6 linked regions of the Canis lupus familiaris genome follow. The protein of the gene in region 4 interacts with the protein of the main gene of each other region in a biochemical or structural test. Links are inferred from orthologs where the notes say so. Each region holds a gene or a part of one and is shown on either strand. Other genes may lie near its edges. The genes, in order: CCND2, NPM1, E2F1, CDKN2A, SERTAD1 and TRIP12.

Region 1 (4,195 bases), on a different chromosome or scaffold from region 4:
CCCGGCCTCCGCGAAGGAGGCGCTCGGTTGACCACGGTGTGTCCCGAGCCCTGACCCACGCCATGCTCCCTGCACGTGCCAGCTCCGCCAACTTGCCGGGGGCGCTGGGCTCTCTCCCCTTCCCCCCCAAGTGAAATTACACTGAAACCCGGGGGAGGGGGGCGGGGGGGGAGGAAGAAGGTGAGGAAACGCCACCATATCCCCTGTAAAAGCAGCCTTGACCCGGGGATGCGTTAGAGCACATGTCGGAGCCGACTGCGCTGGCAGCGTCCCCACCGCAACCCGGCTCCCGGGGAGAAAGCCCTGGCTGGCGGGTGAGGCATGAACCCGGAGGGGTCGGCGAGGATGCCAGCGGAGGACACAGGATGGAAGTCTCGGGCCTCCGAGGAAAGGAAGGGGTGGTGTTGTTTGCGCAGGGGGAGAGAGGGGGAGCCAAACCTAATCCCTCCCTCGCCCCCCTCTCCTCCCCTCCCCCTCCCGGGCTATTTCCTAGAAAGCTGTATCAGTGTGGCCACGCTCGGCGCAGACACCTCGGGCGGCTTGTCAGCAGATGCAGGGGCGAGGAAGCGGGTTTTTCCTGCGTGGCCGCGGGCCGCGGAAGAACCGATGGTAGCCCTGCCCCCCCCCCCCCAGCCTGCGGCAGCCCAGACCTCTTCTCTCCTGCTCCCCGTGGCGCCTGTAGCGCCCCCAAGAAGGGGAGGGTTTCTGCTTCAGGGTCACATTCTATCACGTCGGAGAAGCCGCCCCCTCCCTCCTAACACCCACCCCTTCCTCTCCTTCCTCTTCGCACACACAGGCGGGGTGGGGTGGGGGGGCGTTGTTCTGGCCCCTTTAATCGGGCTTTTGAAACAGCCCGAAGTGATCCAGGAGCTCAAACGTCCGGGACAGAATCTTTATCTCTGGATATCCGAGGTTGCTATTTTCTAAAATCGCCCTCCTTATTCTTCACTTAAGGGATCTGCTTATAAATTGCAGGAGCCCACCCCATCTTCAAGTGATCCACTCGTCATTCTCGGATCTTACATGCATGGGCAGGAATGGAAAGGTCAATTTTGAGAAAGCCAAAGTTGGAGGGTCGTACTTGGCACGATACGCCCACAGAATGTGCGAAATTAGAGGGAATAAGTAGGAATCGGTGGGGTTTTTTTGTGGGTTCCCCTATTCGGGGCCCCTGGCATGCAGGGCTGGATAGAGGGAAAGGGCCTCGGAGAGCTAAGGAGAGGGGTGGGGGGGCGGGGGACCGCGTTTGAAGTTAGGTCGGGCCAGCTGCTGTTCTCCTAAATAACAAGAGGGGAAAGGGAGGGAGGGACGGAGAGATTGAAAGGAGGAGGGGAGGGACGAGAGGGGAGGGAAGGGGAGGAGGAACCGGAGAGGGGAGCGAGGCGAGAGGGAGGAGAACTAACTGCCCAGCCAGTTTGCGTCACTGCCTCGCAGAGCAGAGAAGAGCGAGCAGGGGAGAGCGAGACAAGTTTGAAGGGGAGGGCAGGCAGAGTTAGCAGCCCCCGAGGCTCTCCTCTCCCAGCGCCCTTCCCTCTCCTCTCTTCTCCCCAGCCTCTGTCTCTCTCTGCCCCATAACTTTTCTCTCGAAAACCCCCTATTTAGCCAAAGGAAGGAGGTAAGGGGAACCCTCTCCCCTCCCCCCTTCAAAACCCCCCAACTTTTCCAGTCCGGAGAAAGCAGGGGAGCGAGCGGGTACCCGACTGGCCATGGAGCTGCTGTGCTGCGAGGTGGACCCGGTCCGCAGGGCCGTGCCGGACGCCAACCTGCTCTACGACGACCGCGTTTTGCAGAACTTGCTCACCATCGAGGAGCGCTACCTTCCCCAGTGCTCCTACTTCAAATGCGTGCAGAAGGACATCCAGCCCTACATGCGCAGGATGGTGGCCACCTGGATGCTGGAGGTAGGTCTGCAGACGGACTCCGTCTGTCCCCATCCGGATAGACGCCCACGCTCCCCACCCCCGCCCCCAGCGCAGGGACCCTAAAACTGGGAGATGGCAGGATCCGCGCTCGCCTCCGCACTCCCGCGCGCGAGGTTACCCCTCGCCCTTTGGCGAGACGCGTGGCTTCATTTCTGTTCCCTGCAGGATGCTAGAAGAACTGGGGGAGGGGAGGGGGGGAGGAGGAAAATCTGGGAGAAACGAGACTGTCCTGGGGCGGGGGTGGGGGAGCATCCCGCGCGCGTGTGCCTGCATGTGGCTGCCTCTTCTTCCCACCCCCATCCTGATCTGTCTTTTGCGAAGCTGCGGCTGCTTTCGGTGCAGTGAAGCTGGGAGTGGGAGCGTGGAATCGGGGCCCCAAAGTAAAAAAGAGCAGCCCCCCAAAGGCCAGAGCAAAATCGTCCTAGCCTCAGGTCCCCGCATGTGGTTGCGACTCCGCGTTGGCACTTGGGGGGGGGGGGGGGGAGGAGGGGGGGAGGAGAGAGGAGGAGAGAAACGGAGAATTCAGGAGCCCCGGAAGTCGCAATGAAGAAACGTGTGTTTTAGGGGAACCCAAAAGAACCACTTCTTTACCCTTGCTCCAAATCTTTGCCGAGCGAGCCGTGTGCCCACGTATGCACGGCTCTGGACCTGCCGTGGTTTCGCCATGTTGCTTTGCAAACTCCGGCTGGAAAGGCTGGAAAGCGTTGCCCGCTCGCCCCCCGCACCCCGTTAGCCCGGCCCCCCCACTTGCAATAGTACCCTCTCCCCCAGCCCCCACCTCACGAAGGTTACTTACAGTTTGGCTTTCCAGTTTTCTCGGTGCGGAGATTTGGGTGGGGTAGGAAGGGGGGAGGAGGTGTGTGTAGGGGGGATGTCGGGGCGCCCCCAACGGAGAGGTCAGAGCCCCGGGTGCTCTCCGGCGGCGCCCCGCTCCTCGCCTTTCCCCCGGCTCCTCACCACGGTCCCCGGTTTCTGCCCTTGCGGGCCGCAGCCGGACGGACACTCCCGCCGCGGCGCTCACCCCTCCAACTTTCCCCTCGGGATCCAAAGCCCCAGGGGTTGAGATACAGACCTTTCCGGCACCCGAAATCTCCGTTTCGGGAAGCCTGGTTCCTCTGTGGGGTTTTCACGCCAAAAGGGCTTTTCTAGGATATTTCCTCGATTTTTAATTATTTTTTGAAACCGTCTCCCCAGGCTCCGAGTCCGCCGCCGAGGCTGCGGCTCTTCCTCTTCTCCTCCCTCCCCCTCTCTTCCCCACCTCTCCCCACCCACCCCCCCAATAGCGGCGCCTGGGCCGCAAGGACGCCCCCGGACATTTTTTTCAATTGTCGGGAATGATAGAGCAGGGTCCGGGGCTCCGAATGAGACCAAGAAGAAGACCCCCGGAGCCTCCAGAATATTTTTATTGATTTTTTGAAAAGATGACGAAATCCAAAAAAGAGAGTGTGAGTGAGTTAGAGGGAGCAAAGAAGTCAGTAGCCAAAGGGAGCGTCGCCGAGCCTGGCGGCTACTGCGCATTTGTTTGCCTCCTCGGTTCGGATCTTCAGTTCAACTCTCTCTTACGTTCCTGGGGAGTACCCCAGCACCGACCATTTAGATTTACCCCGTTTTCCTCATCTTTATTCTTATCACATAGTCTACTCCCCTCCCCCTCCCCGCTGAAAAATTAAATATTTTTGCTTCTTTCCATAGGTTATGCCTTTTCATTTCTTTTTTTGTGTATGTGTGTTTTCCTGATATTCTTCCCTCCAACCACCCCCACCCAACCCATTCCCGCTCCCATCTTAGGTCTGTGAGGAACAGAAGTGCGAAGAGGAGGTCTTCCCTTTGGCCATGAATTACCTGGATCGCTTCTTGGCCGGGGTCCCAACTCCTAAGACCCATCTGCAGCTCCTGGGTGCTGTCTGCATGTTCCTGGCCTCCAAACTTAAAGAGACTATCCCTCTGACCGCAGAGAAGTTGTGCATTTACACTGACAACTCCATCAAGCCTCAGGAGCTGCTGGTAATGACAATCTCCTTTCTATTCCTCCTTCCTTCTTTGCTCTCTCCAGGCCTGGCGAGCTTCTACCTCCTGCTCCCCAAACAAATCCTTTGGATCCCAAATTACCACACTGCTGGAATTTTCACACTTCCCGGAAATAACGCTTTAAATACAAATTTTTTTTGTGTGTGTTCCTACTGTGTGCCAGGCACTATACTAAGCACTGAGGCTACATCCAGGAATAAGATACCCAGATACCCCAAGACATTTGTTGTGTCGGTGAAATTCAA
Region 2 (3,500 bases), on a different chromosome or scaffold from region 4:
AAAATAGGTTAAGATCAGAAGTATGGTTAAGATCCTTAAATTGCCTCTGTAACCTAGAAAATAAACCTCACTGTAAATCCCATTTTTAAATTATTGTCACATACATTCTTATTTGATTCATTCAAGTATTTATTGAGCAGCTAGGGAGACACAAAGGCGATTAAAACATGGCCAAAGAGGTAAAGCAAATGCGCAAATCATAGAAAGCAAAGTGTAAGGGGTCACTGAATCACAGCAGTCAAAAGAAAAGTGCTTTAGGAGATCAAGAATGAGATTGCTTCCAGCCTGGAAGGGGGTGTGGGTGGGTGGCAAAACAGGAAAGGGATTTGAGACTTCAGTCTGGATTGTTGATGACAGTCAGTATGGACTATATTTGTCTCTCCTTTTCCTCTCTCCCCAGCTTTGGGTTTATTTTACCAGTAGTGCCCAGGACTGTTCAATTCGCCTGTAATTAAACCAAGGAGATAGGACCATATTAAAATGGGGGGGGGGGATCTAAAAAATGTCATTTCAGCATTGTATGAAAGGGATAAAAATAAAACAGTGATACCAGAAGCTAGAAAGGTATGCAGTAGTACTAAAGCAAAAACCAACAAACACATTTTGGTTCTAAAGGTTTCCCAACTGACTCATCACTGCACAAAAAAATTTACTGAAACCAAGTAAACTTATAAAGCAAAGGAAAAACATGGGGAAACAGAGAGTCAGCAACTTTTCCTCACCATCCCACCTTTACTCTGAAGTCCGAGTTTACTAGGTTTAGTAAGTTTAGTTTCTCAATCAAGTAAGTAGCAGGTAGAGAGCTAATTTCTTCTCACATTTCCATTATTTAAGACAAAATGGTAACTAAATATAAGCGTTCAGAGATTCAAGATATTACCATATATAACTGGTAATTTCTTGGTATAAAGAGCAAATAAAGGGATCCCTGGGTGGCTCAGCAGTTTAGCGCCTGCCTTTGGCCCAGGGCGCAATCCTGGAGTCCCAGGATCAAGTCCCACGTCAGGCTCCCGGCATGGAGCCTGCTTCTCCCTCCTCCTGTGTCTGCCTCTCTGCCTCTCTCTCTCTCTCTCTCTCTCATAAATAAATAAATCTTAAATTAAAAAAAAAAGAAAATAGAGCATATAAAGATTCAAATTTGTTGGAAAATGTTTGACTAAAATCAGTCATGAATAATTATTGTACTAACCCATCAGCAACCAAGCAGTTTCCACTTTTCCCACAGCCTGTAAATTTATAGAAGACTCAAACGCCCTCTGCTGGTTCTATAGCATATTACAACTAAAAAAAAAACTCATTGAACTCCTTTTAACATCTAAGGTCAGAATTAAGCTTAAAACCAACTTACTGGTCTTTTATATATATATAAAAAAGTACATATATATATATGTAACTTCAAGTACACACACACACACACAAAAATGTCAAGGTGAGAAATGAATACAAAAAACATGTTTCTGAAAAAAGAAAAAGCATAGCACAAAAGGGGCAAGATTTCAAGATTAAAAAAGTAAGGAACAATCTAGTTCCAAAGCCATCACAATGGTATTACTCTAAAAGAGGAGGGACAGGACGCCTGGGTGGCTCAGTGGTTGAGTGTTTGCTTCAGCTCAGGGTGTGATCCTAGGGTCCCAGGATACAGTCCCACACGGGGCTGGCTTCCTGCATGGAGCCTGTTCTTCCTTCTGCCTGTGACTGCCTCTCTCTCAAGAATAAATAAAATCTTAAAAAAAAAAAAAAAAAAAAAAGGAATAAAAAAACCCATCTAGGTTTTAAGATCCTTTTATACTCACTTTTTCTATACTTGCTTGCATTTTTGCTTTAATGTCTTCTACAGAACTAGGTCCTTTCGGTGTTTTGGGAGTCTTTTCCTGTTTTTTGAAAGATTCTTGACCCTGAAAAAAAAAAAGATTAAGGTTCAAAAGGACATAAAGGGGTGTCTCTTACGACCCATCCTACCTACCTGGATTTTCTCAAGAAAAATCATTCTTATTTACAATCCTTCCTTGTAAAAAATATAGAGTTGAGTTGTTTTAAATAAACATCTCAACAATTGTTTCTTATTCTTAATATATCATTCCTGAATAAAAACAAGAATAGTTTGAGCTTGCTTTTTATATTCAACATCATATCAGATCAGTTCTACACTTGTACACCATCAAAATTGAAACCAGAAGGCCCCAAGAATGAAGCAAGTAAATGTACCTTGATATGCCTTAGGCCCATCCCATAGCTTCTAATAATCTCCAAGCTGGGGTACTATGGCTCTTTTAAGTTGCTAGATTCTAGTACACAGCCAGAGTTGAGAAAACTCTATGCCATAAAATACTTTAAAAAACTCCTTACAGGACACAACTGTTTATAGTGCAATAAAAAAATTTTTGTTGGCATCCTCCACTAGGGGATGGATCCTCCACCAACAAACACAATGTTTTATATATGTATTTTCTATTGGAGTTTGACTTACCAACATATAGTATAATACCCAGTGCGTATCCCCTCAAGTGCCCCCCCTCAGTGCCTGTCACCCAGTCACCATCCCCCCACCCACTTCCCCTTCCACTACCCCTTGGTTGTTCCCCAAAGTTAGGAGTTTCCTGTTTTGTCACTGTGATATTTCCCACTTACTTTCTCTCCTTTCCCCTATAATCCCTTTCATTATTTTTTATATTACTCATATGAGCGAAACTGTATAATGACTGTCCTTCAAGAATATGGAATGCTTCATGAATTTGCACAGGCACCATGCTAATCTTCTCTGTATTGTTTCAATTTCAGTATATATGCCGCCGAAGCGAGCACACCAACAAGCACACTTTAGCACTTTAAGATATCAATTAAAACTTCTAACTACTTCAGTGAAGGTTGTGGTTTATGTGTATGCCACTTACTTTTGTTCTTGGTGTTGATGGTTTTGAGTCTTTTCCATTCTGGTTTGATTTTTGTGCATTTTTGGCTGGAGTATCTCGTATAGACTGCAATTAGAAATTAATCTTAATCAATGCTCTCCTACACATAACAGACATATGAGTCCAAGTAAAACAGCCCCAAACCACTTAAACAAAAGCAATCAGGGTAAGACAAAACAATCATTCTGACAAAAGGTATTAAGGGCTATGAAAGTGGGAGAAGACCACAAGGATAAAGAAAATAGATCACTATTAGGAAAATTTTTAAGATGAAAATCCTATTCAGGACTAATTTAAGTACAAGATCAACAACTCCTCCCAAACCAGCTTTTGTTAACTACAAAACAAAGCAGTAAAAAATTTCCATTTCTGTTACTAGCTATTTCTGTCAGCCTTGTACCACTGTGTTGTACTTACTTTCTTTACTGGAGCCTTTTCTTCAGCTTCCTCATCATCAAAATCATCATCATCATCACTACAAATGAAATGAGTCCTTATTATTTTTAAAAAATTTTTAATTTAAATTCGATTTGCCAACATAGAACACTCAGGGCTCATCCCATCAAGTGCCCATCACCTATCCCCCCACCC
Region 3 (3,930 bases), on a different chromosome or scaffold from region 4:
GGATTAAAAACATGAAACATTTTTCTCTGGTTCAGTGTCTAATATTCTAGAATCCATTCTAGGGGTAACCTCTGTATGGTATGTGGGTGGAGGACAACCATGGGGGGACTGTTACTATATCTATAAAATGGGGATGATCTACTGTTTGAACATAGAAACAAAGGAAAAACTACAATTTTTAAAATTTAAGGGGAAAAAAAAGCTGTCACAACCATCTTTTTTAAAAAAAAACAGGCTTAGGAAAAGAAAACAGGAGGAAAAATGAATGGTGTTGGCATCCTTCAACTTTTTAGCCTCTTAACTTTTTCTATAGTAAATGTTTTAATTTGCTTTTTAACAGCTATGACAACAGGATAGAGGTGGACAGGAAGTGCCAGGAGGAATGGCTGAGTTGTAGAGTCTTGCATGCTAGAGGTGCTCAATGAATGCTCACTGATGCAGAAGCTGAACCCGTAGCTTGTTTCAAAGACTGCCTCACACAAATGTCAGTGCAGAGGGTCAGAGGAGGCCACAGCTCAATCGGCCAGTGGCTGACCAGAGGTACAAGAGTGGAGAGTCTTGGAGGGGGTGTTTCTGGACTTCAGCTCTGGGGTGGTGCCAGCCCTCACCCCCACCCACCGGCAGAAAATGGATACTAGTGCTTCAAAGCTGTGAGGGCAGAGGCTCCTTCTTTGCCCATTGTCTAGTACCTTTTGGGCAGTTCACTAACTCAACAGTAGAATGGATGGAATGCTCAGGCCCACAAGGCTGCCCCTGACACTGCTGGGGGTGGGGTGGGTACATTTCCTCAGCCCAGTCTCTGGCAGCCCTCTGGGCCTGGAGCTCAGCTTCTACAGCCCCAGGTCGGCTAAGTACTTGTCAGTCAGCTAAATGCAGTTTTCAGGTCCAAGCCCCAGGCTGGCACCTGCAGAGAAAAAAGGCCCCTGGGATAGAGGTGACCCACCCTTAGTACAATCCTCCTCCCTTTACCCATCAGAAGGGTTCCTAACTTCCTTCAACCTGTATTATTAACATTTCTAGGAGGCAAGGCATCCCAGTGGCTAACTAGTTAACAGCTCAGGAAGTCTGGACTGGTCCCACCATTCCACTAGCTGAATGACCTATCATCTCTAGGTCTCAGCTTCCCTATCTGTAAAAGGGGATGGTTGTTGAGAGAGTTAACTGGGTGAAGTGCTTGGCACACAGCCTGACATATAAAACAGTCTCAAAACAATGGTGGCTCCTATTGTTATTATTATTAGCGTCTTGGTGATTCCGGAAGGAAGGCAGAGCTAGGCTGGGCGAGGGGCCAAGGGAGTTAGGGGAGACTTGCCGGGATGCCTCAGGGACCAGCTGCCACCCAGGCCCCCATAAGCAGTTGGATAGCTTCCACCTCCTTGCCCGGGCTCTGCTTCACCCCTCCTACTTGCTCCAGGCCCCCTGCTGAGACCCCCTCCTGCCTGGCTGGCCTGGCCCCTGCCCCCTGCCAGCAGCCTTCCATGCCCCACCTTCACCCACAGGCCCTGACAGTCAAGCTGGTCTCCACGCCCAGTCCTGCAGCTCACAGGTCCAAGCTCCAGGCCTCTAGGCCCTGCTCTCCAGTAATTAAGCAATCTTTTCTGGGGCCCCCAGTCCAAATTGCTCCTGAGCCTCTTGCTGCTCAGGGAGCACTTTATCAAGGCATCTCCCTGGAATATTTACTCTCTCCTGGCACTGGGGGCCTCCACTCCAGCTCCCAGAGGCCCAGCCCACCCATTACTTCCCTGGGGGCCTAGGGGTCTGCCTGCCTGATTAATGAGGCTCCATGGCAACCAGGGCCTGTGAGGGTGGAGGGTGGCAGATGGAAGGACAGGCAGAGGGAGGGGATCAGCAGCTGGCCCAGCCACCCCGCCCCTGCAGAGAAGGCCTCCCAGCCAGGAGGCCTGTCCCCAGAGGCCCAGAGGCCCAGGCCTGCACCTGGCAGTGGAGCATCTAGGCAGGAAGGAGGGTCTCCTCAATGACTCTTTCAGCAGTCTGGCCCCAGGATAGCCCCCTCGACCTCCTCAAGGGGCCCTGTCCACTACCCTGCCACGAGTTCTGGTCTGGAGCCAGCAGGCCTCAGTTCAAATCCCAGCCCCACCACTTGCAGCCGTATGACCGGGGGCAAGTCACTTCCCCTCTCCGGGCCTCCGTTCAGATGGGCACAGTGACAACACTGAGCTCACAGCATGGTTGTGAGTTCTGGCTCGAAGTTCGCCAGAGACCTGGCATGCAGGCAACACCAGCTGAATACACGTGGGCTATTATTACCACTGAGTCTGACCCTCGAGCGGCTCGGGGAAAGCCGAGGCCCAGAGCAGAGGAGCAAACAGCGACTGGCCCGAGGTCACCCCGCATCCCGGGGCGGGGCCCGGAGGCCCAACCCAGGCTCGACCCCGCCCAGCCCGGGAGCCTCGGCCCACCCCCTCCCCCCGCCCCCGTTGCCTCCGGGCCAAAAACCGCGCCCCGACCGGGTCTGCACGGGGGTCCAGACGTGCACTCGGCCCTGTGTCCCTGGTGTCCGTACCGGCGGGCGGCCGAGCGCAGGGCGCGGCGCGCTGGGTGTGGGCCGGGGCGCCTGCGGCGTGGCGAAGAGCAGCAGGTCGGGGTCGCGGGGGCCAGCGGCCGGCGCGGCCGGGCCGGCGGGGGCCGGCGGGGCGCTGGCGTCCTGCGCCGTGGAGATGATGACGATCTGCGAGGAGTCGAGCAGCCGCAGCGCGCCGGCCCCGAGCAGGGCCTCCAGCGCCGGCGCGCATGGGCCGCCTGCGGGGGCCCCGGCCACGGCCATGGCGCTCACGGCCCGCGCGGCCCGGGTGGCAGGCGGCGGCGGCGGCGCGGGCCCATGGCGGCAGGCCGCGGCGAGGGCTCGATCCCGCTCCGCCCCCGGCCGCCGCTGCCTGCAAAGTCCCGGCCACTTTTACGCGCCAAATCCTTTTTGCCGCGAAAGAGCCACGAGCCGCCGAGCGCTCTGACCATTGGCTGTCGGGCCCGTGACGTAGGCGACGGCGACGGGGTCCATTGGCTGCAGCGTGCCGGACCGGCGGCGGTGGGCGGGACGGGGCGTCGGCGCGAGGAGGCGCGGCCAATCGCGGGGCCGGGCGCGCGCAGGCTTTGTCGGGGCGGTGCCAGGAGCTCTCGCACTCCCCGCCCCCAGCCGGGACTGTCCCTACCCCGGGCGTGGTGGCGCGGCTCGCACCCCGACGCCCCGCGGACTCCGGGTCCCGGCATGTGGAGCCCTTTGGGTCAGTGTCCGTTCTGCGCTTCACACCGTATTCGGACCTCCCGTGACCCCCTAGACTCCGCCACCTGTAGCCCCAACAACCTTAGTCTGAATCACTTAGAAACTGCCCTTCCTTTTTTCTATGGTCAGGCCTGTCTCCAAAGCCCCAGCTGCCGCTCCCATCCTCAACTTGCCCCATCTATACCATTTACTTTCAAATCCTGCACCTGCCCTGTCCCTCTCACCCGGAGCCCCAGCAGAAGCGGGCTGTTAGAAAATGAGGAGGGACATCTGGCCCAATACAGCTTGGGGCTTTCCTGTAAGCCCCCTTTTAGCTGGAATCTCTTCAATAGCCGATGCACAGCTTCTGCTTGAACTCATTTATTCACCCATTTATTCAACAAACGTTTTTGAGAGCCTGCTCTGTGCCCCATTCTTAGTTCAGACCTTGAAGAGCTCGGTCTTGTGAAAAGAGAAGGAGAGGAATAGAAGTAACGAATGCTTGGAATATGAGGAGGAATTTCCACCATTAACTCCACGTTAGAGTTCACAAAGGGAGGAGGTAAGGGTGCTGAGCATGAAAATGCAGTTAATCCGGAGGCCCTGGGACCTCTCCATCAGCCATTTCTCATTGCTCAGGTCAGCTGATTTGACCAATATTGTCCTCTCCTCTGTGCCAGGCCTTGTGCCAGCTTTGAGGGCAGAGACGTGAG
Region 4 (4,122 bases):
TGTCTGTCAGAGGCATGACAATAGCAAAAGAGTGAGAGACGAACTGGCTTGAACTATAGCCTAACCTCCTATAGCCCCCCCACCCATTTTGATACAAAATTATATAAGGCCCAGAGATTTTGTATGGTTTTCTGTTGTATATCCAAGCCCAGGACATAATAATTGTTAAAAAGTGAAAGTGAAAACAACAACAAATCTTTAATTCCTAAAAAACTTTTAATATACACTTAGCCTACCAGAATGTTAAAATTCACTCTAAGTATAAAATGAGGGTTCTCTAACCAGCCCCCAAATTCCTTCCCATAATGAGCTGAAGAATGTCCCCAAAGATGTGTACTACCTAACACTTGAAAGCTGTGAATATAATACCTTACATGGGAAGAGAGGCTTCCCAGATGTGATTAAATTAAGGATTTTGAGAGAGATTAACATGGATTATCAGGATGGGCCCAATGTAATCACAAATTCCCTTATGAGGTTACAGAAGAAAGATCTAAGAATGGAGGTCAGAGAGAAGAAGATGCAGGGACCATGAGCACAGGAATGTTGATGGCCATTAGAAGTTGGAAACAGATTCTCCCCTAGAACTTCCAAAAGAAATGCAGCATTGTGGATCCATTTTAGACTTCAACCTCCAGAACTATAAGATAATAAATTTATGTTGGTTTGAGACACAAAAGTTGTGGTAATTTGTTACAGCAGAAATAGGAAACTAAGAAACTTCCCAAGTTTATATACTCTGAGAGTTCATTAAACAGGAGGTGCTCCCTTCATTTGTTTGATAAATCGTCTTTGAAACAAAGTCATTACCAAAGAGGATTTTTTAAATAGTATCTACAATCACAGCAACCTTACAATTTGAGTGTTACATGGCAGATGGCAGTGGTAGATAATTTTCTTTTAGGCTAACCACTATTTGATTATATTAGCTAGACTTATAGTGACTGTATAAAAAGGAATTATTTTTAATTACATTCTGCATTAAACGTAAATAATTATTTCTCTAAGCCAAGGAACATCTGCGAAGCCTCTTTTCCCATGTAAGGTAACATACACTTAACTGATTTTAAAGGTTTTCATTATATTTTGCAGTATTAAAGTATGAAAGAAACCTAACACTTAAATACTTAAATCTAAATAGCAATCCAAAGCTGAAAGAAAAAGAATCGATTAAATGAATATTTGTAGAGTGCTTAAATCCATTTGATAAGATATTTAAAGTAATTATAATTTTCTATAAACTAATTAGTTTTGTATTAAACACAAGGTTGGTTAGGGTTCTAAACCAAAACCATGCACTCTTTTCTCTATGTTCTTATTTTCCCTATTAAAAAAATTGTTAAAACTAATTATCCAACTTTTTTCTTTTTGTATTTAAACAAAGTCTCTTCAAACATATTCCAAACTTCAAGGCCACACTCAGTCTCTGAGCAAAATCTTAGAGAAATGAGAAATCATGCATGCATTCTTTTTAAAGGACTCATGGTTTTCTTCTACCATCACACAACCTCTCTACTCTCAAAATCCCTTCACACTTAAAATCCCAAATAATCTCAAGTTTTAAGGCATTTTGTTTTTATTTTTATATATGTATGTTAAGGTATATAAAATTTATCCTATGTAGCATTGTTTCAGGAAAGGAAGATGACTTGTGAAATCTGTGCAATTGCAGGTACAGTTACTTTCCTTTGTCTTGTTATGCTTGAATTTGTGCAGTGAGCCTTTGTTTCACATACATTTTATTTTTCACAATCCAAAATCATTGTCAACACTGGGAATAAAACTAGGGTGGTGACGAACAGGGAGAAATAGGGTTTTTTGGTTTTGGGTTTTTTTTTTTTTTTTTTTTAGCCTGGATTTAGGAATTTAGTGAAGGCAAACAACAACAGCAAATACCCAGCACCCCCACCCCCACCCACAACCGGAGTCAGGAGGGAAGAAACCACATTTCTGAACCGTGAGGAATCCAAAACTCTCTCAACTGCGTTAATCTATAGCAAGTCAAAAGTAACAAAAATAATAGGAGGTACCCTCAAAATGGTAGCTAAATCGACGGCATTATCTCAGGCAAGATCACACTGTTTTTCTTCATCTATGTCTGTCTGTATTCCCTAAATTCTCACAAGCACAGATGTGCCATACACGGTTAAAGTAAAAATAAACACAACATGCAGTTGCTTCTGAACAATTTCAATGAATATTTATTCAATTTACACAGCAGAAGGTTTCCAGTACAATCGCCGCTAGCACAGAAGATGATCCGCTCCCTTCAGGGGTCTATGAGTTCCGGCCTAGTGGGCCCAACAAATCTTCCATTTCTTTAAAATCTTGCTTTACGTTCGTAACTGTGTATCAGATGGAGAGCACACCTCGGACTATATTAACACGAACAGGCTCCCCCCTCCCGATCTCAGACCAGACATCTGCCCTGCACGTGCCTCCCCATCTCCCCTCCCCCCCCCCCCCCCCCCCCCCCCGCGGCTTCCTCTGCCCCCAGGACGCGGACACTGGAAGCTCCGGGCTCCAGACACCACCTGGGACCTCACCAGGGAGTCTCCCCGTCCCCGACCAGCGACCGGCAGACCTGGAGGACTCCCTTGCAAACCCTGTGCCGCACAGTCGTCCGCCACCGCCTCCTCCCGCCGCCCGCGCGCTCACCCACCTGAATCGGGCTCCGACCCAGGCGGTTCGGCGCGTCGGGAGGCGCCCCCGCCGCGAGCAGCGCCCGCACCTCGTCCGCGCGGCCCCGGGCTGCCGCCGAGGCCAGCCAGTCGGCGAAGGGCTCCATGCTGCTCCCGAGCGCGGGCCCCCGGCTCCCTCCCTCCCTCCCTCCTTCCCGCCGCGGCCGTCGGGCGCCAGCGGCCCGCCCCAGCCTCTCGTGACCCGCCCGCCCCTCCTCTCCCCTCCTCTCCCCTCCTCCGGGGCCGGCGGAAGCGGCCCCCAGACTCGGCCCCTCGACTCCTCCAACCCGACTCTTTCAATCCAGGAGAGCGCCCTCCGCTCTCAACTCGCTGCGAAACGAGTCGCCCCACGCGTGGCCTCTGCCGTCTCGGTTCCACGGCTCCCCCAGGGGAGCACGACCGAGCCGCGGGGGCAGGGAGCCGCGGGCCGCCCCACAGCTGCCCTCGCGCCGCGTCGCTCCGCGCTCCGCCCCGCCTGCGCTCCCCGAGCCGGGCGCTGCCCCCCCGCCCCTCCCCCCGCTGCCCATCGCCCCCCGCCCCTCCCCCGTCGCCCGTCGCCCCCTCCCCCGGCCGCCCATGGCGCCCCGCCCCCCCCCCCGCCGCCCATTGCGCCCCTGTCGCCCCTCCCCCGTCGCCCGTCGCCCCCCGCCCCTCCCCCGTCGCCCGTCGCCCCCTCCCCCGGCCGCCCATTGCGCCCCGCCCCCCCCCGCCGCCCATCACCCCTCCCCCCGCCGCCCATTGCGCCCCTGTCGCCCCTCCCCCGTCGCCCGTCGCCCCCCGCCCCTCCCCCGTCGCCCGTCGCCCCCTCCCCCGGCCGCCCATTGCGCCCCGCCCCCCCCACCGCCCATCACCCCTCCCCCCGCCGCCCCTTGCGCCCCTGTCGCCCCTCCCCCGTCGCCCGTCGCCCCCCCCGCCCCTCCCCCGTCGCCCCTCCCCCAGCCGCCCATTGCGCCCCGCCCCTCCCCCCGCCGCCCATCGCTCCTCCCCCCGCCGCCCATTGCGCCCCCCTCGCCCATCGCCCCCCCGCCCCTCCCCCGTCGCCCGTCGCCCCCTCCCCCCGCCGCCCATGGCGCCCCGCCCCTCCCCCCGCCGCCCATCGACCTCCCCCCGCCCCTTCCCCGTCGCCCATCACCCCCTCCCCCCGCCGTCCATCGCCCCCCCCCCGCCCCTTTCCCGTCGCCCATTACCACCCCCCCCCGCCCTTCCCCGTCGCCCATCACCCCCTCCCCCCGCCGCCCATCGCCCCCCCGCCCCTTTCCCGTCGCCCATTACCACCCCCCCGCCCTTCCCCGCCGCCCATCGCCCCCCCCCGCCCCTTCCCGGTCTCCCATCACCCCCCTCCCCCCGCCGCCCATCGCCCCCCCCCCCCAGCGGAGGCGCACGCGGTCTCGGAGCCAGTTAACCCGATTAAAGCGACATTTCTCTCGTTTCCGTCCTCCGC
Region 5 (4,227 bases), on a different chromosome or scaffold from region 4:
AAATCACATTCCAGCCACCAGGCCCTGTGATCCCATCCCAAGGGCCAATCCCAGACTCCCCTCATTAGTCCTAGACAAGAGGACAGAGGTGAAGTTGCTCAGGACTGGATTCTGTCTCTCCAAAGGCCCTCTCTCTGCTCTAAGGAAGCCAGCTGTGTCTTTCCAAGGAGAGTTGGTCCAGCCACCAGGCTCAGTTTGGACACCAGACCACCATCCCAGTTGTGGGGATCAGCGCCCTGGACCCGGTGGCCGCTCCAGTGCCTGTGTGCCCACCAACACGTCCAGGAGGTAGTCCAGCTCAGCCTCATCCAGTTCCAGAGCCTCCTCCTTGCCAGGCCCATCCTCAGGGCCAGGTTTGAGGCCCTCGGAGGCTGGTGCCCAAAGTTCACTGTCATACATAGAGGTGTCGATGTCCTCAAACAGACCCTCAAGCTCATCGTCCAGCAGACAGCCAGTGGCTGGGCCCAGCAGGTCCAAGGCACCCAGGTTGGGTGGGGATCCTCCAGTGGGGCGGCCCGGTGGCCCCTCGTCCACCAAGGGCTGGGGGGCCTGGCTCAGGCCCTCGATATGGCTGAGGTCCTCCAGAAGGCTGGCCATGGAGGCTGAGAGGGCAGCGTCTGAGCTGGCCAGCAGATTGTCAGCCACACAAGGGGCCGCAGGCGGGCTGGGCACAGGTGGCAGGGTAGGTTCAGGTGCCATGGATGCCTGGATGCGCCGCAGCGTGTTCACTACCAGTACCAGGTGCCGCAGGTCCGGCTCACTCTGCCGCAGGCTGTGGTGGAGCTTGAGCACAGAAAGGTCCAAGAGGGAACTGGAGGCCACGGCCGGGGGGGCCTGTGCCACTGCTGGGAGGCTGGGATCCAGCCACCAGGAGTCCACTGCCAGGGCTTCCTTCTCCCGCTCCTCCTCCCGCTTGCGCTTCAGACCTTTGCTCAGCATCATCTGCAGGGAGGGAGGAGTCATTCAGTTATGGAAAGTCAATGTTAAGTTAAAAACCCTGTCTCTGATAACTTATGTCTGGTGTGATCTTGAGCAGGCCATTTAATTTCTTGAACCTGTGCTTTCTTAGGGAAACCTGAAGATATGAGTGATCATAGTATCTACCTCATGGAGCTGTTATATAGAGTAAATGTGGTAACGTACAAAAAAGCACTTACAACAGTGCCTAGTACATTGTAACGATTCTTATTAACAAATACTCTTAATAGCTATTATTATGTATTTCTTCAGTGAACCATGTGAAATGCCCAAAATTCAATCTTTTTAACTCATGAAAGCAGCTGTTTTACATAGTTCCATCCGACACTTACTGTCTACTACCCATCAGACAAATAAATAAATAAATACAGGAAATGTAGAGGTGTGCTAGGAAGATATTCAAAGGTTCTGGGGAGTGGTCACGGAAGGCTCCTCCGAGGTGACATTTTAGCTGACCCTTCCTCAAGCAGGAGGAGCCACCCACAGAAGGACCAGGGGAAAGCATTCCGGGAAGAGAGAACAACAAGGGCAAAGAAAGACCTGGAGGCTGGATGAGCATGAACTGAAAAAAAACAAAACAAAACAAAACAAAATAAAACACCAGTGTGGTCAGCGCAGAGTGACACGGAAGGGGACCGGGTTTGGAGAGCAAGCAGAGGCAAGGAGTTTGGATTTTACTGTGAGTGTCATTGAAGGATTTTGAGCAGGGAACACGGGTGGTGTTGTGAACTGATTAGATTTCCAGAAGATCCCCCCTCGGCTGCTTCGAGTTAGATGAGGGTGAAAGGAAGGGAAACGGGGAAGAGCGCGGTCCTGAGCTCCATTCAGAGGCCACCGCGCTCTGGGGCGGGTGATGGTGGGGGCCTGAAGTGGAAGGTGGAGGGCAGTGGACATGGAAAGAAGTTGGTTGCTTCCGGATTTCTTTGGGAGGCAGAGTAGACATGGCTCGCTGGGAAATCCTGACCGGCACCGGGGGGTCACCAAGAGAACTTTGAGGACCCACACTCTCCCCGAGATAGGGGCCCCTGGCGTTCTGGACGCCAGGCCCAACTTACTTTCTTGAGCCTGGAAGCTTGAAGGCTCCAATCCCCTTGCCCAACAGGACCTTAAAAGCGACTCCTCACACTTCTCAAAACGGTCCTCGCCTCCTTCCCCGAAGACCCGGGAGTCCAGAACCGCAGGAATTCAGGCGCCCCCCTCCCCGGACTCCGCCCCCCCGTCCCGGCGCCCCCTAGCGGCGCCAGAACGGCTTTCCCCGGGGATTCCGGCCCCTCGGACCCCGGGATCCTCGATACGGCCCCACGTCCTGGCTGTCGTTCCTGCCCGCAGCGCAGGGCCGTGCGGGCCGGGAACCCCGAGGGCTGTTCTGCTCTCTCGGCCTGTGCTCGCTTCCGGCAGGCAGTGGAGGCGGCTCCTCCCGAAGCGGCGGCGGCGGCGGGGGCGGGTGAGTCACGCAGCCGGAGCCAGAGAGCCGGCGCCTCCGCCCCCTTCCCGGGCTGCGGCGTGATTCACCCAGCCCGGCCGGGCGACACTCGGGGGCCCGCGCATCTCGATCCCGGGCAGCCCCGGCGCGCACCGGCCGGACCCGGGGATCGAACCTGCCAAACGACCCCCTCGCGGGTTTCCCTTCTCGCCTCGGCCCCCTTCACTTCATTTACATACCTAGCTCACCCGCTGCCAATCAGAACGAAGAGGGATCCACGCGCAGCCAATCAGGGAGCGGCGACGGCAGCATCGCTCGCTCGCTCTCCTTCAGCAGCCGGCGCCTGGGTCGGTAGACGCAGTTCTGACTCCGGCGCACGACTCCAGGCTCCTGACTCCCCTTAACTACCGCCCACTCCCGCGGTGGCCCCGCCCTCGGCCCGCGATTGGCCTTGGGCGGTGATGGGCGGGGCCTGGAGAAGGAAGGTTCGAAGGGAGGGGAGGGTGGCTTCAGGGCGCATGCCTGGCGACTGTGTAAGGAGCCGAGGCCAGGTGGGGTGGCTGTGTTCACTGCGGGGCAGTGGCTGGGAGGGGTTTCTTCCTTCTCAAGGTGTGAGCCCCTCACACCTGCCCGTACATTTGCCAAACCCAGCAATTGAGCAACTTACAGACCCAGTCCTAACAGAGGTCTGCACTCTAAGCCAGATAAGCATGGGTTCAAATTCTGACCACTTACTCAACGTGCGATCTAGGGAAAAAAAAATCCTTGGACCTCTCTGAGCCACACACAAAGTCTGTTAAATGGACAGCTTCTTGCCTACCTCTTGAGAGTCGGGAAAATTAAAATAAGGTTGTGTCTTTAAGAGCACCATAGCGCACTAAGCAAATGCTGAGCAGTTGGACTCAATAGTGGTTACAGGAGGGGGAGGGGGAGCCGGTGGGGATAGGAATAGAGCCACTGGAGTCACATCCTGGGCTCCATTCCCTAAGTAGCTGTGTGACCTTGGGCAAGTAATTTTAATCCCAAAGGTCTCAGTTTCCTCACCTTTTTAAAATGAGAGTATTTTGAGGATTAAAAAGAATAATCACACAGGGGCCCGAGGCAGGCTCAGTCGAGAGCATGTGACTCTTGACCTCTAAGTTATGAGTTCAAGGCCCCCGCGCTGGGGGCAGAGATTCTTTTTTTTTTTTTTTTTTTTAAGATTTTATTTATTTACTCATGAGAGACACAGGCAGAGGGAGAGGCAGGCTCCCTGGTGGGAGCCCAAACAAGATTCAATTCTAGATCCCAGGATCATGACCTGAGGCAAAGGCAGATAGATGCTCAACCGCTGACCCACCCAGGCGTCCCAGGTGTAGACATTTCATAAAAATAAGATCTAAAAGAAAAAAAGAGGGGCGTGTGGGTGGCTCAGGTCATGATCCTAGGGTTCTGGGATCAAGTCCCACATCTGGCTCCCTACTCAGCAGGGAGTCTGCTTCTCCATCTCCCTCTACCCCTCCCCCTTGCTCATGCTCTCTCTCAAATAAATAAAAAAAGAAAAAAATAATCCCACAAAGTGCTCAGAATGGTGCACAACATGTCCTTTTGTTGGTAGTAATAGCTGTTGTGGTTATAGCACAGGTGCTTAATTCAAGGCAGGACACCTGGGGTCGGGTATGGGTAGACAGGAAGTTAACGCTTGTCTGGTAAACTGACAAGGGGACTTAACTTCTCCAAGTAGCTCATTTGCTAACTCTTTTTGAATTGTGGGAAGAACTGTTGTGAATAGAGTTCCTGGCCAAAGTAAGCTCTAGAAAATGCTAACTAAACTAGTTGATTCAGGT
Region 6 (4,179 bases), on a different chromosome or scaffold from region 4:
ATAACCTAATCCCCGGGCTTATTGTTGTGGAGCAGATGTCATTATGGGTGGGGCCGACGCGCAGAGCAGCTCCCACACTTCGGTACCACCCCCCGCGCACTTTCAATGGGATAGAAGGGGCTCCCAAAAGGTAAGCGGAAAGCTCTCCACGACCCGTTCCTGCTGGCAGTAAGGAAGCTGGGATGTGGTCGCGGTCCCGGCCAAGACCACGAGATTTAAAAAAAAAAAAAAAAAAAAAAAAAAAAAAAAAAAAAAAAATCATCCCCCCCCACCCTTCCCCCACGGTTAACTCCTACCCTGGAAGAGAGATCGTCCCTCTCTCTCTCCCCTCCCCTGCCGGCTCCTCCTCGGGACACTTGGCTGAGTCTTTCTTTCTCTGCTTCCCACGCGGAGGTGAGGCTGCACCGCTGCACGCAAGCCGGGGACGCCTGCTCTTCCTCTTCGCGCGGAGGGAACTCTGCGGGTAGGAGCCCCGGGTGGCAGGGAGGGAGCCGGCGGCGACGTGGGCAGGCAGAGGAGCTCGCCGGGGACGCGCCGGGCCGGGGCTGCCTACAGACACGCGGGCCCCCGAGGAGCCGGCCGACGAGGCCGAGGTGACGAGGGAAATCTCCGCGCTCCGGGCTCCGGGCTCCGGGCTCCGCGCTCCGGGCCCCGGGCCCCGGGCTGGGACCGCACGCTTCCGGCGGGCCACCGTCGCTCTCGGCCTAGCGCGGCCCGCGTCCCGCGCTCGGCCGGGGCGGCGGGGACTTAGGGTTAAACCGCGCCTCGCACTTGCCTGGGACCGGGTGACCAGTAACTGGTAATAGTCTTTGCTCGGCGCTGGGCCTTGTCCTACAATTTCGAACAGCGTCTCCGGCAGCCACGACGCCATCTTGGGACGCCACCGGCGTCGCTAAGACAACCAGGAAGGGGCGGGGCTTCGCTGGGGTCATGGGGCCAAAGCCCTAGTTTAAATCGAACCCCGCTTTTGAGCTAGCGGAGGGGGGCGGTTTGACTTGGGGTGATCGCCCCGACCTCCGAGAGGCCCAGGGAACTCTCGTCTGTGAAATTTCAAGCCTCAGGTCCCCGGTGACCCGAAAGGGAATTAGTTCCTGCTACCATGGAGGGGAGGGGGTGACCCCGGCGGAGGGATACCAAGCACGGCCCCACATTCCCCTTCCTGGTCCCTCGAAGGGATCGGGAGGAGATCTCGGGCCGCTGGGAGAGTCGCTCCGGGCGGTGGGGGAGGGAGGGGCGATGTGATGGGCCGCGAGTAGGCAGCGGGGCCTTTCCCGCGGACGAGCCCGGCAGCCCGAGCCGGCGGGCAAAGTAGTTCCCGGAGGGTGTTGGAACGGGCGGGGAGGGAGGCGGCGCGGGCGGAGGCGCACGCCGGCCGCGGTGCTGCGGCTCAGCTGATAATTGAAGGGACCCGAGGAGCCGCCGCCGCCGCCGCCGCCGCCGCCGGGGGGGGGGGGGGGGAGCGAGTGGAAGTTGCTGCCGCGCCACCGAGTCCGGACCGGAGACTTTGGGGCCCAACTAGGTAATTGGGGCGCAGTTCCGAGCGGCCGGGCCAGGCTTGGGGGAGGGGGTTGTGCCGAGGGGTTGGGAGGGGGCAGCGGGGGGGGGGGGGGGTGGGGAGGAGCTGGGAGAGAAAGTCCCAGGAAGCCCGGTTGTGTCATCGCGGCGATTCGGCCCCGGCTCGGCCTGCTCCCGGCGGCGGCGGCGGCGGCGGTGGCGGGGCCGCGGAAGGACCGGGCCGGGGGTTGACGGGCGAGGCGCTCGAGGGAGGCTGGGGCCGGGCGGGCGCAAGGCGGGGGGGCTTCTCTGGGTTCCCCCCTCCGGCCCCCGGCGATGAGGAGGGCCCTTCGCGGAACCGGGGTAAGGCGTGCGGGTGTTGGGGAGCCCGGTGGGGGCCGGCGGGGGGGGCGGAAGTGGGCTTTGGGGCTCGGAGGGCGTCTAGGAAGCGAGAAAGTGGGGGGCCGGAAGTGCAGGTGGGGGGTGTGAAGACGGCGAGGGTTCCCCGGAAATGGGATGGGGGGCCCGGAAGCCGGGAGAGGGGAGGCTCCGGGGCCCGGGGGGGCGGGGGGACGACGGACGGCCCGGAAATGGAAACTAGGGAGCAGCTCGAGTGACAACAGTTGTGGGAAGCGAGGGTCAGAGGAGGGAGAGGCCGGAGTGACTTTAGACCGCAGTAAGGGGTTTCCTGCGGGGGTGGGGGGGCGCGGGGGGGCGGGCGAGGCCGGAGACGGGGTCCGCGCCGGGCCGTGTGGGTAGAGCCGTGGGAAGTTGAGGCTGAGCGGGGATGACGGGGGGGCGGGCGTGCAGGAGGGTCTGGCGAAGAGGCCGGGAAACTTGGCGGAGAAGCGCAGAGGAGCGGGGACGTCGGGGGGTGGGGGGTCCGGGCCCCGCGAGGGAGGCGCCCCGATTGTCACTCCAATCGTCTCCGCATTCAGAGCGAGTCAGGCGATTAATTTATTTATATGTGGATTACATAAAACCCATTATACCGTTTGTCCCTCCGGCTCCCCCTCCCCTCCCCTCCGCTCCCCTCCCCTCCATCCTCCCCCCTCCCCCCCCCCCCCCCCCCCCGGGAGAGAGTGGGTTTTCTAGTTCAGAAGCAAGTTGGAGGGGAGTTCAGATAACGAAGGTCGGGAAATTCCCAAATCCTGCCCTTCGTGGCGCTTCTAGATTTCCATTCCTACAGGGGGAGAGATTAATAAAGATTTAAGAAAAAAAAAAAAAAAAAGAACACACACACACAAATGAAACGAGCCCCATGCAAAGCGGGAGGAAGTCACCTATTTGAAGTGCCGGTGTTGGGGGGGGGCGGGACGGACGGCGGGGAATTGGCTCCCCTGGTGAGGTCGGGAGAGCGCGGAAGGGGCTGCTGCTAAACCCTTAAGACAGGTTGGTTGGATTTTGATAAGGCTTCGTTTTCAGCATCGTGCCCGGCGAGGGTGTGTGTGTGTGTGGGGGGGGGGGGGGAGTTTTAATTGCTTCGTGAGTTCATTGAAGGAGGGACCGTGTCAGCGGGCGCGGGGCGCGGGGCGCGGGGGTCGGCGCCCTGGGGCGGGGGGTGCGTCCCGGGTGGGCGTCGCCGCGCTCGGGGCCCGCCGTCCTCGGATCTCGCCCGGGCTGCCGAATCACCCGATCCCCGGGCTTCCCTCCGTTCTGTAGGCCCCGGAGTGCTGTGTTCAACTTGATTCCTTCCTCTCTCCAGTCTCTCTCTCTCTCTCTCTCTCTCTCTCTCTCTCTCTGTGGATATGTTCTTGGCATTTCGGGTTTTTTTTTTTTTTTTTTTTTTTTCTTTAACGAGCACAGAAAGTTGAGGCTTGAGGATTCTCCTCCTTCAACACAACACAACACAAAACAAAAATAATAGGGGTAGAAAGTTGAAAGAGCTATTGAGTTGGGGCAAAAAAAAAAAAAAAAAAAAAAACACCCGACGCTCGGAACAAAGGTCCTGGTTGTTGGGGAAAAAGGCAAGAGGCCTATATAGGAGGCCTGTGTGTGTGTGTGTGTGTGTGTGTGTCGCGGTTACTCGGGGTGGGGGGAGTGGGGGGCAGTTCAGATTGAGGAATGAAAGGGCATTATCAGAGGTTTGGAGACCATCAGTTGCAGATGGGTTTATTGAGGTTCATCTTCATATTTACATTATGCAAAGAGATCAATACTGAAGGTAAATTTTGCAGCAAACAGAATTTCTTTTGAAACGACCCTGCTGCTTCCCTGTTCAGGCCCAGAAAGATTGAATTAGTGTGGTTTTTGTTTGTTTGTTTTTAACATCTTTATGTGATTGCTTGGGGAGTTTTTATTTCATTTATTTTACGCCGAAGAGGGCATTATTAACATGGAGTTTGTGGGCTTTGTCCACATCTGCCTTTCTACCAATGTGCCAATGTGCCAATATCCGTAAGGATTTAAGAATTGCCATGTAATTGACACCAGAATGTTCTTAACATTTATCATTGTTCCTATTCAATTCCCAGTTTTTAAGGAGTTTGAGTGATTTTGTAAGTCCGCTGAGCTGACGGTTACTGTTTAGTTTGTGCCAGTGAACAGGCTTTTTGTTTTAGTTTTTCATTTACTTTCTGAAAGTTTTGGAATACTTTGGCAGTTAAGAGTTCCAGAAGCTGCGAAACTAATTATTTAAAAAATGAAGGGGTTGCTAAGCCAGTGTAAAATCAGTGTTTTTACGTA

The links.
Region 1: the proteins of CDKN2A (region 4) and CCND2 form a complex in vitro, tested with the Homo sapiens proteins (2 studies listed by BioGRID). The link is inferred for Canis lupus familiaris from reciprocal best matches to the Homo sapiens genes CDKN2A and CCND2.
Region 2: the proteins of CDKN2A (region 4) and NPM1 form a complex in vitro, tested with the Homo sapiens proteins (3 studies listed by BioGRID). The link is inferred for Canis lupus familiaris from reciprocal best matches to the Homo sapiens genes CDKN2A and NPM1.
Region 3: the proteins of CDKN2A (region 4) and E2F1 form a complex in vitro, tested with the Homo sapiens proteins (2 studies listed by BioGRID). The link is inferred for Canis lupus familiaris from reciprocal best matches to the Homo sapiens genes CDKN2A and E2F1.
Region 5: the proteins of CDKN2A (region 4) and SERTAD1 form a complex in vitro, tested with the Homo sapiens proteins (2 studies listed by BioGRID). The link is inferred for Canis lupus familiaris from reciprocal best matches to the Homo sapiens genes CDKN2A and SERTAD1.
Region 6: the proteins of CDKN2A (region 4) and TRIP12 form a complex in vitro, tested with the Homo sapiens proteins (2 studies listed by BioGRID). The link is inferred for Canis lupus familiaris from reciprocal best matches to the Homo sapiens genes CDKN2A and TRIP12.

Annotation. Positions count from the first base shown.
Region 1 is NC_049248.1:5,498,240-5,502,434, forward strand, and holds the start of CCND2 (G1/S-specific cyclin-D2), read left to right. Parts: upstream 1-1,395; 5' UTR 1,396-1,706; coding exon 1,707-1,901; intron 1,902-3,710; coding exon 3,711-3,926; intron 3,927-4,195. UniProt on the Homo sapiens protein: Regulatory component of the cyclin D2-CDK4 (DC) complex that phosphorylates and inhibits members of the retinoblastoma (RB) protein family including RB1 and regulates the cell-cycle during G(1)/S transition.
Region 2 is NC_049225.1:41,653,174-41,656,673, forward strand, and holds part of NPM1 (nucleophosmin), read right to left. Parts: intron 3,385-3,500; coding exon 3,327-3,384; intron 2,976-3,326; coding exon 2,892-2,975; intron 2,803-2,891; exon of another isoform or gene 2,709-2,802; intron 1,896-2,708; coding exon 1,794-1,895; intron 1-1,793. UniProt on the Homo sapiens protein: Involved in diverse cellular processes such as ribosome biogenesis, centrosome duplication, protein chaperoning, histone assembly, cell proliferation, and regulation of tumor suppressors p53/TP53 and ARF.
Region 3 is NC_049245.1:23,405,724-23,409,653, forward strand, and holds the start of E2F1 (transcription factor E2F1), read right to left. Parts: upstream 2,801-3,930; 5' UTR 2,786-2,800; coding exon 2,525-2,785; intron 1-2,524. UniProt on the Homo sapiens protein: Transcription activator that binds DNA cooperatively with DP proteins through the E2 recognition site, 5'-TTTC[CG]CGC-3' found in the promoter region of a number of genes whose products are involved in cell cycle regulation or in DNA replication.
Region 4 is NC_049232.1:41,340,029-41,344,150, forward strand, and holds the start of CDKN2A (cyclin-dependent kinase inhibitor 2A), read right to left. Parts: upstream 2,801-4,122; 5' UTR 2,789-2,800; coding exon 2,663-2,788; intron 1-2,662. UniProt on the Homo sapiens protein: Acts as a negative regulator of the proliferation of normal cells by interacting strongly with CDK4 and CDK6. This inhibits their ability to interact with cyclins D and to phosphorylate the retinoblastoma protein.
Region 5 is NC_049222.1:114,052,873-114,057,099, reverse strand, and holds the start of SERTAD1 (SERTA domain-containing protein 1), read right to left. Parts: upstream 2,801-4,227; 5' UTR 2,641-2,800; intron 2,189-2,640; exon of another isoform or gene 2,034-2,188; intron 943-2,033; coding exon 229-942; 3' UTR 1-228. UniProt on the Homo sapiens protein: Acts at E2F-responsive promoters as coregulator to integrate signals provided by PHD- and/or bromodomain-containing transcription factors. Stimulates E2F1/TFDP1 transcriptional activity.
Region 6 is NC_049246.1:42,403,406-42,407,584, reverse strand, and holds the start of TRIP12 (E3 ubiquitin-protein ligase TRIP12), read left to right. Parts: upstream 1-1,379; 5' UTR 1,380-1,519; intron 1,520-1,836; exon of another isoform or gene 1,837-1,857; intron 1,858-2,064; exon of another isoform or gene 2,065-2,170; intron 2,171-4,179. Other genes in the region: FBXO36 (F-box only protein 36), read right to left, coding at 297-457, 776-932. UniProt on the Homo sapiens protein: E3 ubiquitin-protein ligase involved in ubiquitin fusion degradation (UFD) pathway and regulation of DNA repair.